4 linked regions of the Saccharomyces cerevisiae S288C genome follow. Changing the gene in region 2 together with the main gene of any one other region gives a genetic interaction. Each region holds a gene or a part of one and is shown on either strand. Other genes may lie near its edges.

Region 1 (4,009 bases), on a different chromosome or scaffold from region 2:
GTTTCAAGACCAGGTCGATATATGCTATTGGTCAAAGAAATCATGAAATCTACTGACCCCGAGAAGGACAAAAGTGATTATGAAGATTTAAGCAAAGCCATGGATGCATTAAGGGATTTTATGAAAAGGATTGATCAAGCAAGTGGTGCTGCACAAGATAGACATGATGTAAAATTGTTGAAACAAAAGATTCTTTTCAAAAACGAATACGTTAATTTAGGATTAAATGACGAAAGGAGAAAAATTAAACATGAAGGTATACTATCACGGAAGGAGTTGTCAAAATCGGACGGAACAGTTGTTGGTGACATACAATTTTATCTTCTAGATAATATGCTCTTATTTTTAAAGGCCAAAGCAGTTAATAAATGGCACCAGCATAAGGTATTCCAAAGGCCCATTCCATTGCCATTGTTATTTGCATGTCCAGGTGAAGATATGCCTGCGTTGAGGAAATATATTGGAGACCACCCAGATTGTTCAGGAACTGTAATTCAACCAGAATACAACACGAGTAATCCTAAAAACGCAATAACTTTCTTATACTACGGTGCCAAGCAGAGATATCAAGTTACATTATATGCTGCGCAATACGCTGGATTGCAAACGCTTTTGGAAAAAATAAAGCAAGGACAAGCAGCTATTATAAGCAAAACGGAGATGTTCAATGTAACGAAAATGAGCGATAGGTTCTTCGATTACACCAACAAAATTAACAGTGTTACTTCCTGTGATGGGGGTAGAAAACTTCTGATTGCAACGAACTCTGGATTGTATATGAGCAACATTAAAAGACAGCAGAATAAAGATCATAGACATAAAAGCTCTGCTTTTTTTTCAACTCCAATCCAACTAGTACAAAGAAATAATATCACTCAAATTGCTGTATTAGAAGAATTCAAATCAATCATACTTTTAATTGATAAAAAATTATACAGTTGTCCGCTGTCATTAATCGAAGCAGAAGGTAATGGGACATCTTTCTTCAAAAAGCATCACAAGGAACTGATCAATCATGTGAGTTTCTTCGCAGAAGGAGATTGCAATGGTAAGAGATTAATCGTGACTGCACACAGTTCATCGCATTCAATTAAGTACTTCGAGCATGAACATCCATTATTGGCCGAAAAAAATGGTAGTGGTAGCGGTAACAAAAAAAGTCTCAAGAAAAAAATCACCGAGGTTATTTTTGATTCTGAACCTGTCTCTATTTCATTTCTCAAGGCCAACCTATGCATTGGCTGTAAAAAGGGTTTTCAGATCGTTAGCATTTCACAGAATGCTCATGAATCCTTGTTAGATCCGGCCGATACATCATTAGAGTTTGCACTAAGGGATACTTTGAAACCAATGGCAATCTATCGTGTGGGAAATATGTTTTTGCTGTGTTACACAGAATTTGCCTTCTTTGTCAATAATCAGGGTTGGAGAAAGAAAGAATCGCATATTATTCATTGGGAGGGAGAGCCCCAAAAATTTGCAATTTGGTACCCGTACATCTTGGCATTCGACAGCAACTTCATTGAGATCAGAAAGATTGAAACTGGCGAATTAATTCGTTGCGTCCTTGCTGATAAGATTCGACTTCTACAAACAAGTACTCAAGAAATCCTGTACTGCTACGAGGATTATCGCGGGTATGATACAGTTGCGTCGTTAGATTTCTGGGGTTAAGATAGCAACGTATATAGACTTTCCTTATTTTCTTTAGAATAAAAAGCATAACTAAAGTTGTAAAAGGAGCAGAATTATGAATAATAAACATTGATGACAATAGTGGAAAACGACATAAATAATAATTTTATAATATAATAATGATAATTCACCGTCAGAGGGATTTGTATGCAAATGATTGATGACGCGAGAAAAAAAAACGCGAAATTTTTCTTCCCAAAGCTTCGAAGTTTTTATTCCGTCCACAAAGTGAAAAATTTTCAGAAAATTTTCCAGACTGTGAATAAACAAAAGGTTGGCTTACGCATTTGGCTTGTCTTTTTTTTTTTTCACAGGTTCTTAGTAAATAATTGTATAAAATATTTATCTGGAGTCTTCTGTTTGTTGTTTAGCCTTGTTTGAAGTTTTATTTAACTTATTACCCCAGTTAGGTACTGTGTATTTTCCGCATATCTGGTGTCTTTTTATTTGGTCATTGATTGGTTTTTGACAGCTCTTCACTCGCTTCAAGCTTACTTCTAGTTTATTTATTCGGCTTTTTTCCGTTTGTTTACGAAACATAAACAGTCATGAACACTACCACATCTACTGTTATAGCAGCAGTTGCCGACCAGTTCCAGTCTTTGAACTCTTCTTCTTCATGTTTCTTGAAGGTTCATGTTCCTTCCATTGAGAACCCATTCGGTATTGAATTATGGCCAATTTTCTCCAAAGTGTTTGAATACTTTAGTGGCTATCCAGCTGAGCAATTCGAGTTTATTCACAATAAGACTTTCTTGGCTAACGGGTATCATGCTGTTAGTATTATTATCGTTTATTACATTATTATCTTTGGTGGCCAAGCTATCTTACGCGCCTTGAACGCCTCTCCATTAAAGTTTAAATTGCTTTTCGAGATACACAACTTGTTTTTGACTTCTATTTCTCTAGTTTTATGGTTGCTGATGTTAGAACAGTTGGTTCCTATGGTTTATCACAACGGTCTATTCTGGTCTATCTGCTCTAAGGAAGCCTTCGCACCAAAATTAGTTACTCTTTACTATTTGAACTATTTGACCAAATTCGTAGAATTGATTGACACTGTGTTTTTAGTTTTGAGAAGAAAGAAGTTATTGTTTTTGCACACTTACCATCACGGTGCCACCGCTTTGTTGTGCTACACTCAATTAATTGGTCGTACTTCTGTTGAATGGGTAGTTATCCTACTAAACTTGGGTGTTCACGTTATCATGTACTGGTACTACTTCTTGAGTTCATGTGGTATTAGAGTTTGGTGGAAGCAATGGGTCACTAGATTCCAAATTATTCAATTTTTGATTGACTTGGTATTTGTTTACTTTGCTACCTATACATTCTATGCTCACAAATACTTGGACGGTATTTTACCAAACAAGGGTACTTGTTATGGTACTCAGGCTGCTGCTGCTTATGGGTATTTGATTCTAACATCTTATTTGCTTTTGTTTATTTCCTTCTACATCCAATCTTACAAGAAAGGTGGTAAAAAGACAGTCAAGAAGGAATCTGAAGTTTCCGGCTCCGTTGCATCCGGTTCTTCTACTGGTGTCAAGACCTCTAACACCAAGGTCTCTTCCAGGAAAGCTTAAATAGGAAGCGAGAATTTTTGACAGCGAATGAAAAAGAAAAAAATTAAATGTTAACATTTTCTTTATATTAAATATGTACGATAAATGAAATCATTATTATAGAAATGATAGATTATTGGCTTGGTGTTTTTCCCATTTTGATTAATCATTTCCTTAGCTGCCCAAAGAATTGCACGCTTACAGTGAGGAGTAGTGATACATTACAATTATAAAATAAAATTATATAGCAGCTAAAATTTAAAACAAACAGACTTTGTTCCTTTGTATGTCCTATGGAAGATACTGACTTGCAGTTTGTAAAGTGTCCAAGTCGTAATCCACTTTACTTGCCACGAATTGATCATTGAATAATTTAATTTTAATAATCTCTTGAGTTAAATCGGGATGTACTCTGGGAATGAAGTCATTTAAAAATGAGTACTCTCCCCTAATGGAGGAAGATGACTGACATTGCATTATCTTGAACAAAATTCTAATTATCGGCCCAGCATCATTATCTAAGTATTGGGACCAGAACGCGTTACACACAGGAACATGGATATCAAGTAACTCTTCAATGAAGTTCATTGGTTGTTCTAGCTCTCCAATAATAGAGTCCTCTGTTATTATTCTCTTCTTGAAACGGCCACTATCTCTAATGAAATTGCTTTGTTCACAATACGACCTGTAAGATATGGGTACGATGGAGTTTACTGTACTCAAGTAATCATATAAGTCCTCTTGAATGA
Region 2 (4,189 bases):
GCTGCCGTTCTTTTCTGAAGATGCGCAGAGACCCATGATATTTGCTTGAAAATACGCGTGATTTGTGCTGTAACAATAAGGCTCGCTGTGATAGCAATTGCTCACTTTTATACCTATCGATTGCTCTTTGGGTAGTGAGAACCAAACCTACCTAAAGTTTTTCCACCCCTTCAGTCTAAGGCTGCACGCACGCGCCTATAAATCCTGCTGCTTATTAACTTTTTTTTTCGGTGCAGTATGCAAGAGGATAAGAAGAATCATTTGGGCGCAGCTGAGGGGGCTTGAACATGATGAAGTAAGGGAAGAAGAAATCGCGAACGAGGCAGTAGTCATGTTTTGTGACTGAATTGGCGGACTTCATTTTACTCCAGACATTTACTTAATGTGGAGCACGCCGGGCGCAGGGATCGTAATATATGGTATATCTTTAGTAATTATAAGTTTGATTCTGCCCCGGGTACCACGGGTTACCCGTTTCCTTAGCCTTTTGGATTTCGTCTTTTTTTTTTTCCTCCATTTTCACTTTTTCATTCAGTTACTAACTGGCCAAAAGAGACATTTTAGATATAAGAGGTATGAGAGAGTAGATATATGTGCGTGTGAGAAAAGGTAAGGGGCGCAAAGCATAAAACAGGTGGTATTATCGATCAACAGTATCATAAGAATGGCAGCTTCAGTTCCACCAGGAGGTCAGCGTATCTTGCAGAAGAGAAGACAGGCACAATCCATTAAGGAAAAGCAAGCAAAACAAACGCCCACTTCCACCAGACAGGCTGGTTACGGTGGGTCTTCAAGCTCAATTTTGAAGTTATATACGGACGAAGCCAATGGATTCAGAGTCGACTCCCTTGTCGTATTGTTCCTATCTGTCGGTTTCATCTTCTCCGTGATTGCTTTGCATCTATTGACGAAATTTACACACATTATATAATATCAGTAATTTTTTTACATATGCTAAAGAAAATCGATAATATCATTTCTCGCTCAAGAAAGTTTGCAGGTGGTGCTCCGCGTCCAGAACCTCTTGTTCGACTTCGATGAGGGCTCTGATTTCAGACCTGCCAAACAAGAAGGAGATGGCACCGTCGATGGTGCCCGAGATGGAGACAGCAATAGCGAAAAGGACCCAGAAGATGGAGGACCAGCCTGCCTTGTTTGCAGTAAACGTTGTCACGACCAACGACGCTATTAGGAGAAGTATTGAGGCCCAGAAATGTAGGCCACGGAAAAATTTCTGTCTTTGGGCTGTCTTCAAGTACGTGTGGATGCATTCTATCATGGTTTCGTAGTTGGAGTATCTCTGCAAGATCAGCTCTCTATCATGAGTCTTCGCACGCTTAACGGAGGTGGATGGACGGGACTCTGTGCCCTGTGGGACGATGTTAAGGGTGCATGAGTATGCAAAATGGTCAGAGACACTGCAGTCCAGGTGAGGGATCCGTTCAGTGAACCTGACACCTGCGTCTACTGTTTGCAAGAAATCAGGGTCGATAAGAGCATAATCCAACCTGCATGCCTCATCGGGTTGTCTTTGGGCCCTCCATGTGTTGAGCAGCGAATCGCACGTGGTACAGCCCTTAAGCAATTGTTGCAATGGAGACAGACGAGCGATCACCGCCAAGTCTTGCTTCCCATGCAATTGCTCCCAGGAGTCGACCAGGCCGGCCTCCTGCGTGAGAAATTTGTGGGGCAGTGAGCCCGGTCTGGAGTTTAAGTCACCCACCACAATCACCGCATAACCGGCCTGCCTGTAAAGCTTAATGAGCCTGCTGAAATCCCAGGCCTGACAAGATCTGTGGCACAAGTAGGCGGCATCACCCTGCTTGGCGTATGGGGCGTGCATGTGACTGTTCATTATTGCAATGGGGCGGGTTCCTGTGTTCAATACGGTGATTGCTATAGATTTCCCTACGTACCAGTCGCCACGGAACACCGCACTCGGTCTACCGTTTATCGGGAACCGGTAAAGAAAGGTCGACTCTATCGGGACCTTGGACAGTATGGCCAACCCAGGCCCCGTCAGAATACCAGAATGGAACAAACGCTGATACGGATACTTGGAGGCACACGCAGAAGCTAGATACTTCCAGTCTTCCACACACCAGATTTCTTGTAAGGCAATCACGTCGTAATCTTCGTTTTCATTACTATCTCCACCATTGGGCAACAACTCGTCAGATATTGGCGTAAGCATTGAGTGGCCCGCCAATTTATCAGCAATTGCTCTGAGTCTTTCTTTACGGTGTTTGGAGACGTATTTTAACCCCCATGTATTGAAGGTCAGAAACTTTATGGAATACGCTTTACTATTATCGGACATAATTGCGTTGGTCCCGTTCAGTGCTTCAAACTCAGATTGACCATCTTCCTTCCTCTCGTGAACATCTCTGTCTTTTCTGTTGTACATATATCTGCTTTTTTTCCCTTTTTACGCGGAAAGCGCAAATTTCCTCGAAGATTTAAGCCAAACCAAAATAAATCAAACCAAACCAAAACAAAACAAAAACAAAAACAAAAACAGGCTAAGCCGATTCAATTAAAACCGCTCATACGTATACAACACATACACACATACAAGAATGGCCAGCATAGACGCATTTTCGGACCTTGAGCGCCGGATGGACGGGTTCCAAAAGGACGTGGCCCAGGTACTGGCACGTCAGCAAAACCACGCGCGCCAACAGCTGCAACAGTTCCAAGCGGAAATGCGTCAATTACATAACCAACACCAACATCTCATAGATGAACTGCAACGGCTTGCCACCCAGCGCACCGCTCTGCAGCAACAAATACATGCGGCCCAACAAGCTACAAATACCACCAGAGAGCAGTGGAGAAGCTATCACGAGCGTGAATCTGAGTTATCTAGACGGCAGTCGACCTTAGCAGCCCAATCGCGCGAGCTGGACTCGCTGCTGCAACAGCGTGGTAAAGAGTGTGTCCAATTACGCGCACGTTGGGCTGCGCAGTCGGGTAACGATGCCGCAGAGGTCGCACTGTACGAACGGCTGTTGCAGCTTCGTGTACTACCCGGAGCCAGCGATGTGCATGACGTACGTTTCGTATTCGGCGATGATTCACGCTGCTGGATCGAAGTCGCGATGCACGGAGACCACGTGATCGGAAACTCTCACCCGGCGCTGGACCCCAAGAGTCGGGCAACACTTGAGCACGTGCTTACCGTCCAGGGCGACCTCGCGGCATTTTTAGTCGTGGCCCGCGATATGCTTCTGGCATCTTTATAACGCCTTTATACGCATCTGTTCAGTTTATTCTGGGCCTATGATTTAGATGAGGAATAAATTGGTTCTTACTGTCTATACATAACTTTTACAAGGACCCATTCTATATTAAAGGAGATTAACGCAGTCTTCAAATAAAGGCATCATCCACTTATTTTATAATATACTAAGTGATGATGATGTGGCAACGATATGCAAGGGGTGCGCCACGCTCATTGACATCACTCTCATTTGGTAAAGCTAGCCGCATATCAACAGTGAAGCCAGTGCTTCGCTCGCGCATGCCAGTTCACCAGCGTTTGCAGACGTTATCTGGTCTGGCAACCAGAAACACAATACACCGTTCTACCCAAATACGTTCCTTCCATATCTCATGGACAAGGTTAAATGAAAATAGGCCAAACAAAGAGGGTGAGGGCAAGAACAATGGTAATAAAGATAATAATAGCAATAAAGAAGATGGCAAAGACAAAAGAAATGAGTTTGGTTCATTATCAGAATACTTCAGATCTAAGGAATTTGCTAATACGATGTTTTTGACCATCGGATTCACAATTATATTTACTTTGCTCACACCTTCCAGTAACAACTCAGGAGACGACTCTAACCGCGTCTTGACTTTCCAGGATTTCAAAACAAAATACCTGGAGAAGGGTCTTGTGTCCAAGATTTACGTCGTTAATAAGTTTCTCGTAGAGGCCGAATTAGTCAATACAAAGCAAGTTGTATCGTTCACCATTGGTTCAGTAGATATTTTTGAGGAACAGATGGACCAGATCCAGGACCTCTTGAACATTCCTCCTCGGGATCGTATCCCCATCAAATACATTGAGAGATCTTCTCCCTTCACATTTTTGTTCCCCTTCCTGCCCACCATCATTCTGCTTGGTGGCCTTTACTTCATAACCAGAAAAATAAATAGTTCACCACCAAATGCCAATGGTGGT
Region 3 (4,424 bases), on a different chromosome or scaffold from region 2:
ATGAGTATCCAATTGTGTACATTTCGTTCGAAACAGTGAATAAACCATCGTACTGTACTCAATTTATTGACGCTACGCAGATGGATTTTGTACATTTAGTGAAACAAATTATATCATATCTACCGGCTGCTACTGCCACACAGGCAAAAAAGCACATGGTCATTATCGATTCATTGAACTATATTTCTACAGAATACATAACAAGGTTTTTGTCTGAGATCGCCTCTCCTCACTGCACGATGGTTGCGACTTATCATAAAGACATCAAAGATGAGAACCGTACGGTAATACCTGATTGGAATAACAATTATCCTGATAAGTTGACTTTACTGCAGTTTATGGCCACTACAATAGTAGATATTGATGTGGTATTAACAGGCACTCTCGATACTGAGGAGGTGAGTGAATTGTTAAACGAATTTAGAATTCCTCGCGGGTTAAATAACGATATATTTCAATTACGACTTGTTAATAAAAGAAAGTCCGGCAGGTCATTGGAATACGACTTCATAGTAAATTCAAACACCCACGAATATGAATTATTATCAACCACTAAGCAAGAAGAGGAGAGCAGTAGTAACGGACTGGAGACACCCGAAATGTTGCAAGGATTAACAACATTCAACCTAGGAACATCCAACAAACAGAAGCTGGCCAAAGATCAAGTCGCATTGCCTTTTCTGGAGGCACAAAGCTTTGGACAAGGGGGTGCTATTGTTTATGAGTACGAAAAGGATGACGATTATGATGAAGAGGATCCATATGAGGATCCCTTTTAAAAAGTAGAAACTGATGGTAAATAGTGAGTGCTTCCAGATTATGTAAACTACGTATACTTCATACACATATCTAGATGCTAGATTGTTAGTCTGTTTTAGTCTTTTTTTTCCCTAGGAACTTTTCCTTTAGCTTTAGCAATTTGTATTTTAAGCCAGATTGCAACGTAATCTTATCGGCCTCTTCGACGGTGACCATTCTCTTCACCATCAAATTGTATAGCATACCGAATATGAGTCCCATGATTGTAGATGTTAGAATGATGACGTTATACGGCATACTAAAATCCGGTGTAGACAGGGATAACAATAGGGTAGAGGTTCTCATTTCATAAAGAGACGATGAGGACTCCAAAGATAGCACGGTGATTACAGCTGCATCGATTTCAAAACCATGGTTTGCATCTGGTGGATACTCGGCAAATTGCAGAAGAGCTTTATCGAATTGATAAGTCATTACAATGTCCGTATTAGCTGGAATTAACATCGTGAACTCCAAGTGGCCAGGTCTTTTTCTATCGGCCGCTTGTAAATAGTATTTATCTAAGATGATATCGTTTTCTTGCAATTGCGGAGAGGTAGTAGAAGTAATTTGAAGAGAGGATAGGTAAACTCTCATGAACCATGGCAATGATTCGAAATAAATCAACTTCACAGGGGTATCATTGTCGTTATGGAAAACAATACGCATTCCACCACGATCTTGTCCATTACCAGTCAGAGATCTGCTTACGTGAATTGGGACAGGAACTATGGGAGTAACTTTAGTAGTGTCCGTCGATTCTAAAATAAAGTCGTAGCCCGAACCACCCTCATTTTGATCGTTTGATAAGTCAAAGCAATTATCATGTGTGCTGAAAATAGTATCGTCAACTGACAAAAACGCAGTCCAGGTAGAACGGTCAACTTCTGCACAAATTCTTGTGGGCCTATTAGCAAACAGGTTGCCATTGTTTATTGGTCTGGCAAACAGCTGAGACAGCTTGAAGTGAGTCTGCGAAGGTTCCGGTAGAGGGAAGCATTGGTAAGAATCAAAGGGTTTATCCGTGTCACAACGCAATGTGTTCCCATCCAAAGGTTTGGGGATAGGTCTCTCACCTCTTGCCAAGGCGGAGGGAACGTGTGTTACCATTTCTATGCGTGCGTCCATCTCGTAGTGACAAAGAGCATCTTCATCTTCAGAACAAATAGTGGCAATATCCAAGGAAATACTATTCCATAGAGAGTCGAACAATTTATGACCATCCAAGAGAGATGTCAAACCGGATTTGCCCCTAGTAGGCAATAGTTTTATGAACGGCGTCAAGTTCTCGGTACAGATGGGTTCATTGGGCAACGATGCTCGCATCAGGTACAGTTTCTCGGTGCTATTGAAAAGAGGAGCTCCTATATCAGAAGCATATGACCGCCGGGGAAAGGTCGTCCTTGACTCGTCGATAAAATTTAAAGAAGAACAAAACAATCCGCTCAATGAATTGGACAGTTTTTTCCAATTATGGAACGCCTGTTCCTGATCCATGGCCTGCACTTGCGACCACAATTCCACACCTGAGGCACCTGCCTCTTTTCCAGCATGTGGCAACTGTCCCCACGACAGGGCATCCCAGAATCCTCTGGTAAATCTTAAATGAAACTGACGCGTGGCAGTAGATTCCAACAATGGTGGGATGGCCCGTGGGAAAGTCGTGTAGTGCTCATACGCATCATATGACATGGATGATACGGCCGGGTCAAACGGTTCCGATTGCAGTTGGAATGCAAATGAGAGTAGCAGATCATTGTTGGGCAGCGGCTTCAACACCAGTGCTTCGTCGTACGGATACCATAAACTGTCATTTATACCAATCTGCGACACCGTGTCTTCTGCGAACACACCCAGTAGTAGAGTGCCCAGCATGAAATAGGCCAGTGTGAGGATCATCGTCGTCTTGCCTATGCTTTGTTTGCTTTGAACACTTGTTTCCGCTCTCCTTTTACTTATTGGCTACTAAAACTACGTGTAAAAGATCGCCCAGCGCAAAAAGGTCCGGCGGTTTCAAATAATCTCGAACTATTCCTATAATATGCAAAATAGTAGGTAGGAACAAGTCGACTCTAGGCAGATAAGGAAGATGTCCGGTAAATGGAGACTAGTGCTGACCGGGATAGGCAATCCAGAGCCTCAGTACGCTGGTACCCGTCACAATGTAGGGCTATATATGCTGGAGCTGCTACGAAAGCGGCTTGGTCTGCAGGGGAGAACTTATTCCCCTGTGCCTAATACGGGCGGCAAAGTGCATTATATAGAAGACGAACATTGTACGATACTAAGATCGGATGGCCAGTACATGAATCTAAGTGGAGAACAGGTGTGCAAGGTCTGGGCCCGGTACGCCAAGTACCAAGCCCGACACGTAGTTATTCATGACGAGTTAAGTGTGGCGTGTGGAAAAGTGCAGCTCAGAGCCCCCAGCACCAGTATTAGAGGTCATAATGGGCTGCGAAGCCTGCTAAAATGCAGTGGAGGCCGTGTACCCTTTGCCAAATTGGCTATTGGAATCGGCAGAGAACCTGGGTCCCGTTCTAGAGACCCTGCGAGCGTGTCCCGGTGGGTTCTGGGAGCTCTAACTCCGCAGGAACTACAAACCTTGCTTACACAGAGTGAACCTGCTGCCTGGCGTGCTCTGACTCAGTACATTTCATAGCCCATCTTCAACAACAATACCGACTTACCATCCTATTTGCTTTGCCCTTTTTCTTTTCCACTGCACTTTGCATCGGAAGGCGTTATCGGTTTTGGGTTTAGTGCCTAAACGAGCAGCGAGAACACGACCACGGGCTATATAAATGGAAAGTTAGGACAGGGGCAAAGAATAAGAGCACAGAAGAAGAGAAAAGACGAAGAGCAGAAGCGGAAAACGTATACACGTCACATATCACACACACACAATGGGAAAGCTATTACAATTGGCATTGCATCCGGTCGAGATGAAGGCAGCTTTGAAGCTGAAGTTTTGCAGAACACCGCTATTCTCCATCTATGATCAGTCCACGTCTCCATATCTCTTGCACTGTTTCGAACTGTTGAACTTGACCTCCAGATCGTTTGCTGCTGTGATCAGAGAGCTGCATCCAGAATTGAGAAACTGTGTTACTCTCTTTTATTTGATTTTAAGGGCTTTGGATACCATCGAAGACGATATGTCCATCGAACACGATTTGAAAATTGACTTGTTGCGTCACTTCCACGAGAAATTGTTGTTAACTAAATGGAGTTTCGACGGAAATGCCCCCGATGTGAAGGACAGAGCCGTTTTGACAGATTTCGAATCGATTCTTATTGAATTCCACAAATTGAAACCAGAATATCAAGAAGTCATCAAGGAGATCACCGAGAAAATGGGTAATGGTATGGCCGACTACATCTTAGATGAAAATTACAACTTGAATGGGTTGCAAACCGTCCACGACTACGACGTGTACTGTCACTACGTAGCTGGTTTGGTCGGTGATGGTTTGACCCGTTTGATTGTCATTGCCAAGTTTGCCAACGAATCTTTGTATTCTAATGAGCAATTGTATGAAAGCATGGGTCTTTTCCTACAAAAAACCAACATCATCAGAGATTACAATGAAGATTTGGTCGATGGTAGATCCTTCTGGCCCAAG
Region 4 (4,591 bases), on a different chromosome or scaffold from region 2:
CTTTCATAAAATGGTATCAATGGCTCGTGAGCAATAAGGACAATTTTGTTACCAATTTCCTGATTACTCAATTTCTGAATGTAGTCAGTTAAAAGTAAAGTAGCCAGGTTTTTTTTCTGGTATTCTGGCTTGATTACTACAGAGTGAATACCAATATGATTACTCGATTCCACTTGTAATTTGCCCATGCTTTCGATAGTAATGTATTCATGAGGTATCTTAGTACCCATAATATGACCAATTAGTGTCTCCTTTTTAACTTCTTTGCCCTCGATCTCTCTGATGAAAAGACCTGAACATAGCTCTGGACAATTGATCAAACGAAAGCTGATAATTTCTTCTGAAGCTCTTTCGTTTGGTGGGAAACCTTGGCTTTCCAAGTTCAAAATCTGCTTTAAATCTTCAATGATTAAGGGTCTAATATACATATGAAGCGGTAGCGTGCTACTTGAGGAGGCCATTTTAACTTTTTATTTAATCGTAATGTATTGGTGTTATTTTTTCTCCGAGAAAAGTATTCTGATGTCCAATTCTTCTTAATCTAGTTTGTTGTAAATTTTTCTTACAAACACTTGCTCCCGCTTCTTGTCCAGTGGGATGTTCGTCGTTCTTCCATTGCTTTTCCATTTTTGCCCGTTCAAAACTATTCTTTTTATGAATTGACAGAAAACCAAAAGCAAGCCGATTTCAGGTTAACCCTTTATTAAAATAAAAAAAAAAAGCATGCATAACACTAATAATATATTATTAAAAAAAAAGCCAATCTATATTATTTAAATTATCCGAAATTACTTTTATTACATTATGACATTCTATAGTCTATGCAAGCGGATCAAAAAACCATTCCATCTTGGTGCCACAAAATACTCTCATGCCAAAAGTGCGAGCTTCGTTTCTTGTATCCACTTTGTCGCCTAACCTTATATGAATCCACTTTTTTAAAACTTTTGGTTGTAAAACAAACCAGTTTATGATGATGAAACTTGTCATTGCATATAAAACACCAACGAAAAGGTCAAATCTATAATGGTGGTCCAGATACATGGTAGCCCACCATTGTAGTATTATATATAGGATAGCCCAGAATTTTGGTATAAACCCATCGTTGACTATTTTAAAAATCCATTTGTTTGTGAAGTTCGTGTCTTCATCATATAAATGGACAAACTGGAGAGGTTTCTTATTGCCATTGCTGTTAATAATGCTGCCGTCGCCGCCGCCGGTGCTTCTTTCATTACTGGATACGGTGAATGAAGATGAAGGGGAGGAGGACCGCTCATTTGAAATATCTACAGGCTCAACGGTACCCAATGGTTCCATCTCTAAGTCGTTAGGGCCAATCGTGGGCGGTATGCTATTGTCACCTTCATCTTCGCTGTCTTCCTCACTCAACTTGAAAGTGGAAGAATCATTATTGTGCATTGTGAAACCTCCAGCATTGGAAAATCTGTGTTTTAAGCTGGTGGACCTTGAAACCAAAAACAAGAAACATTGAAATGCAATGGCGGAGTGTAGTGAAGGAACAGCACCAAACACAATAGGAGACATGTGAAATCCTTTAGTGTTCAAATGAGTACCCAAATGGCTATCTACTCTTATCAAACCGGCAGCAAACCCTTCCTGGGTGTAATTAACATGTTCGGTGTCATCAATACCGTACAGATGAGTAAACCATGGGGAGGCCATTGGAACAAGCAGATGGGTAAGGACCCCCGCTATATTTTGTAATCCTAGGGCAAAACTAAAGCATTTTAAAGTCCCCGGTGGTTGGAAGACGTATAAGTATACAGCTGTTAAAATTGGAGCTGTCAAGTGCAGGATGACATAGGAGAACCAAGCCAGTAAATCCTTGGTCTTAGTAAAGTTTGCATCCGACTGGTAAGCAAAGAAATGATCAATGTTGAGTATAACAAATGTAAACAGGGGCAAGGCAAACGGTATGAAAATTGTCCGAAATCTCTTTTGGATCGGCCGCTGCTTGCGCTTGCAGGGGTAATGAAAAATATTTGCGAACCACTCTAACAGATTATAGTTAACGTGCTTAATGTAATAGATGTAGTACCAAATGGCAAAGGGAATACATATCAGAAATACTAAGAGAAATGCAGAAGATGATATGAATGACCAGAAAAATAGCTTCGAAGTATTATCGGGCAATTGTACAGTAAGTTCATGCCAATAGTCCCCAAAGAGGAATTGATCAGCAAAAAAAGCAAACTTGCTATGAATGTCAGGTCTGAGCCTTATGGGTATCAGACCAGCGCGCTTGAATATAGACAGCCAAATAAACACTGGCGCAAAATTAAGCATGAAGTTGAACGGCAGGCTTATTAGATTACGTTGGTTCAAACTTGCATTATACATGTTTTTGACGAAACTCGCCAAAGAAAATATGACATTCATGCTTTCTTAGACGTTGAAAGACTTTAGGTGATTCTTAGCAGAAATGATAACGTCCAACCGGTGAAATAAAGGAACAGTTAGGGTGGCAATGAAAAAGTAGCGATGCTTATGAAAACACTATGCCTTAGGTTTCCTTTTTTTATTTTTATTTGACAAGTAGCGATTACTCTTCTATTGTTCCTGGTTTTTGATGCTCGAATGTATTATATAAAAATGTTGTGGCCGGAGGTCTGCATTTCTAGGCATTTTTCCTTTTTCTTATTTTTTTTACTTTCCTACTAACTTTGCACTTCGTAAGAGAATTTACACCAGAACTCTCGATTGAGGCGAAGAAGGCGGAGAAAAAAGCCGGTAAAAAAAAAAAGCGGAATCAATCAGCACAATCAGAGGCGTCAAGAAGCGGCGCGGGGATAATGCTTTTTTCCCGTGGCGTTCACATTTTTGTTCCGCGGAAAGCACGTGAGCGTAATCCACTCGGGAAGGGCGCAGCTGCCGTGGCCAACTGAAGTAATCTTTAGCCGTTTATCGCCGCGCAAAACGGCAATTGCACTTGAGACCCCAACGGCGCTGTGCAGCAGGGTATTCTACTACGTGTTAGCTTGCCTTGCATTTCCCCATGCGTCTCGAATAGGAATTATTCAAGATGGATTATTGGCATTTACGAGTAACCAAGGATAACCCCGCTGTGCGGTGAAACCACCCTCTTTTCACGTTTCTTCAAGGCCAGTGCAAACGCGAATAAACATATCTACGCTATATATAGATATGACGTTTCTCAAGCCAACAGAAGTAGATAAAGCAGCCAGGAGGGTAGAGAGTGTTCAAATTATAGCAAGCCTTCTTCTACCTGTTTTTTTTTGATGATTGTTTTGCCGGGTAACAATCGACTTTCGGGCAAATTTTTTTTCCTTTTTTCTCCTAACAGTATATACGGAGTGGAGAACAGACTTCCCATAAAAGCATATTACGTGGGGTCGTAGTAAGATTGCCGTTTATGATACCCTCTATTCAGGGCTCAGAGCGCATCACGATCGGGAGTGTAAATTCAATGTGCATATAAGCAAAACACACAGATTTCCTTTTTTCCCAGAAAAATGAGCAGTGAAATTGCCTACTCGAATACGAACACCAACACTGAAAACGAGAACCGCAATACTGGCGCTGGCGTAGATGTAAATACAAATGCAAATGCAAATGCAAATGCAACTGCAAATGCAACTGCAAATGCAACTGCAAATGCAACTGCAGAGCTGAACCTCCCCACGGTCGATGAGCAAAGACAGTATAAGGTACAACTGCTATTGCATATCAACAGCATATTACTTGCTAGAGTTATTCAGATGAATAATAGTTTACAAAACAATCTACAGAACAATATAAATAATAGCAATAACAATAACATCATCAGGATACAGCAACTTATATCTCAGTTCCTTAAAAGGGTTCATGCCAATCTTCAATGCATATCTCAGATAAACCAAGGAGTGCCCTCAGCGAAACCACTGATCCTCACGCCTCCTCAGCTAGCCAACCAGCAGCAACCTCCACAGGATATTCTTTCTAAACTCTATCTTCTCTTGGCAAGAGTGTTCGAGATATGGTAGAATAACTTTGTTTCTCTTCCCTTTTTTATTTTGTTTTTTTTTTTTTACTTTTGCAATTTTAATTTTGCATTCAGCTACAGGTGTGATTGCATACCCGCAGAGCAAGTACAGGAAGCATAAGAAAAATAGAATACGAAAAGCAGAAAAAGAAAGGCAAATAACAATCACTCAAGTACTACAACTGCATGAATTTATCGTATGTAATGTACCCAACGTAAATAATAATATTAGTATTTTAAAATCTATGACATCAGATGTAGTTATCTTACTGCCAGCCCTATTAATACTACTTTCTTATTATCTTCTTCGAGAGCCACCTTCGTCATCGTCGCAGTAAGCATTGTCATCTTCATCATGCACGTCGGTAACGGAAGCCTAATCTCAATATCTACTAGTTTACTCTACGCCATTTGGAGCGTAGCCCCTTCTCCTTTTGACTCTCTGACTTTTCCCTCCCCTCCTTCTCTTCTGGCCTAGCCTAACCTAGTCTAGCCTCGCTGGACCCCCTCCTTCCAACGGTCAACCCCTTCCTTTCTATTCTCTTCTCGTTCTCTACGTAAGGAACTTGTAAAAGAAAAAATTTG

Evidence for each region.
Region 1: of ISC1 (region 2) and ELO3, changing one suppresses a phenotype caused by changing the other (phenotypic suppression), as found in Saccharomyces cerevisiae (2 studies listed by BioGRID, with this or other methods).
Region 3: mutations in ISC1 (region 2) and GPI16 together harm fitness less than expected from each alone (positive genetic interaction), as found in Saccharomyces cerevisiae (one large-scale study listed by BioGRID).
Region 4: mutations in ISC1 (region 2) and IPT1 together harm fitness more than expected from each alone (negative genetic interaction), as found in Saccharomyces cerevisiae (2 studies listed by BioGRID).

Annotation. Positions count from the first base shown.
Region 1 is NC_001144.5:865,111-869,119, forward strand, and holds ELO3 (fatty acid elongase ELO3), read left to right. Parts: upstream 1-2,243; coding exon 2,244-3,281; downstream 3,282-4,009. Other genes in the region: Rho family guanine nucleotide exchange factor ROM2, read left to right, coding at 1-1,674; VID22 (Vid22p), read right to left, coding at 3,552-4,009.
Region 2 is NC_001137.3:191,015-195,203, reverse strand, and holds ISC1 (inositol phosphosphingolipid phospholipase), read right to left. Parts: upstream 2,408-4,189; coding exon 974-2,407; downstream 1-973. Other genes in the region: GPA2 (guanine nucleotide-binding protein subunit alpha), read right to left, coding at 1-36; Arf family guanine nucleotide exchange factor SBH2, read left to right, coding at 665-931; kinetochore-associated Ndc80 complex subunit SPC25, read left to right, coding at 2,580-3,245; AAA family ATPase AFG3, read left to right, coding at 3,416-4,189. UniProt on the Saccharomyces cerevisiae protein: Responsible for the hydrolysis of the phosphosphingolipids (IPS), inositol phosphorylceramide (IPC), mannosylinositol phosphorylceramide (MIPC), and mannosyldiinositol phosphorylceramide (M(IP)2C).
Region 3 is NC_001140.6:481,141-485,564, forward strand, and holds GPI16 (GPI-anchor transamidase subunit GPI16), read right to left. Parts: upstream 2,698-4,424; coding exon 865-2,697; downstream 1-864. Other genes in the region: Elongator subunit IKI1, read left to right, coding at 1-779; PTH1 (aminoacyl-tRNA hydrolase), read left to right, coding at 2,888-3,460; ERG9 (bifunctional farnesyl-diphosphate farnesyltransferase/squalene synthase), read left to right, coding at 3,705-4,424. UniProt on the Saccharomyces cerevisiae protein: Component of the GPI transamidase complex. Involved in transfer of GPI to proteins.
Region 4 is NC_001136.10:588,942-593,532, forward strand, and holds IPT1 (inositolphosphotransferase), read right to left. Parts: upstream 2,404-4,591; coding exon 820-2,403; downstream 1-819. Other genes in the region: PAA1 (polyamine acetyltransferase), read right to left, coding at 1-461; SNF11 (Snf11p), read left to right, coding at 3,498-4,007. UniProt on the Saccharomyces cerevisiae protein: Catalyzes the addition of a phosphorylinositol group onto mannosyl phosphorylinositol ceramide (MIPC) to form mannosyl diphosphorylinositol ceramide (M(IP)2C), the major sphingolipid in membranes of S.cerevisiae.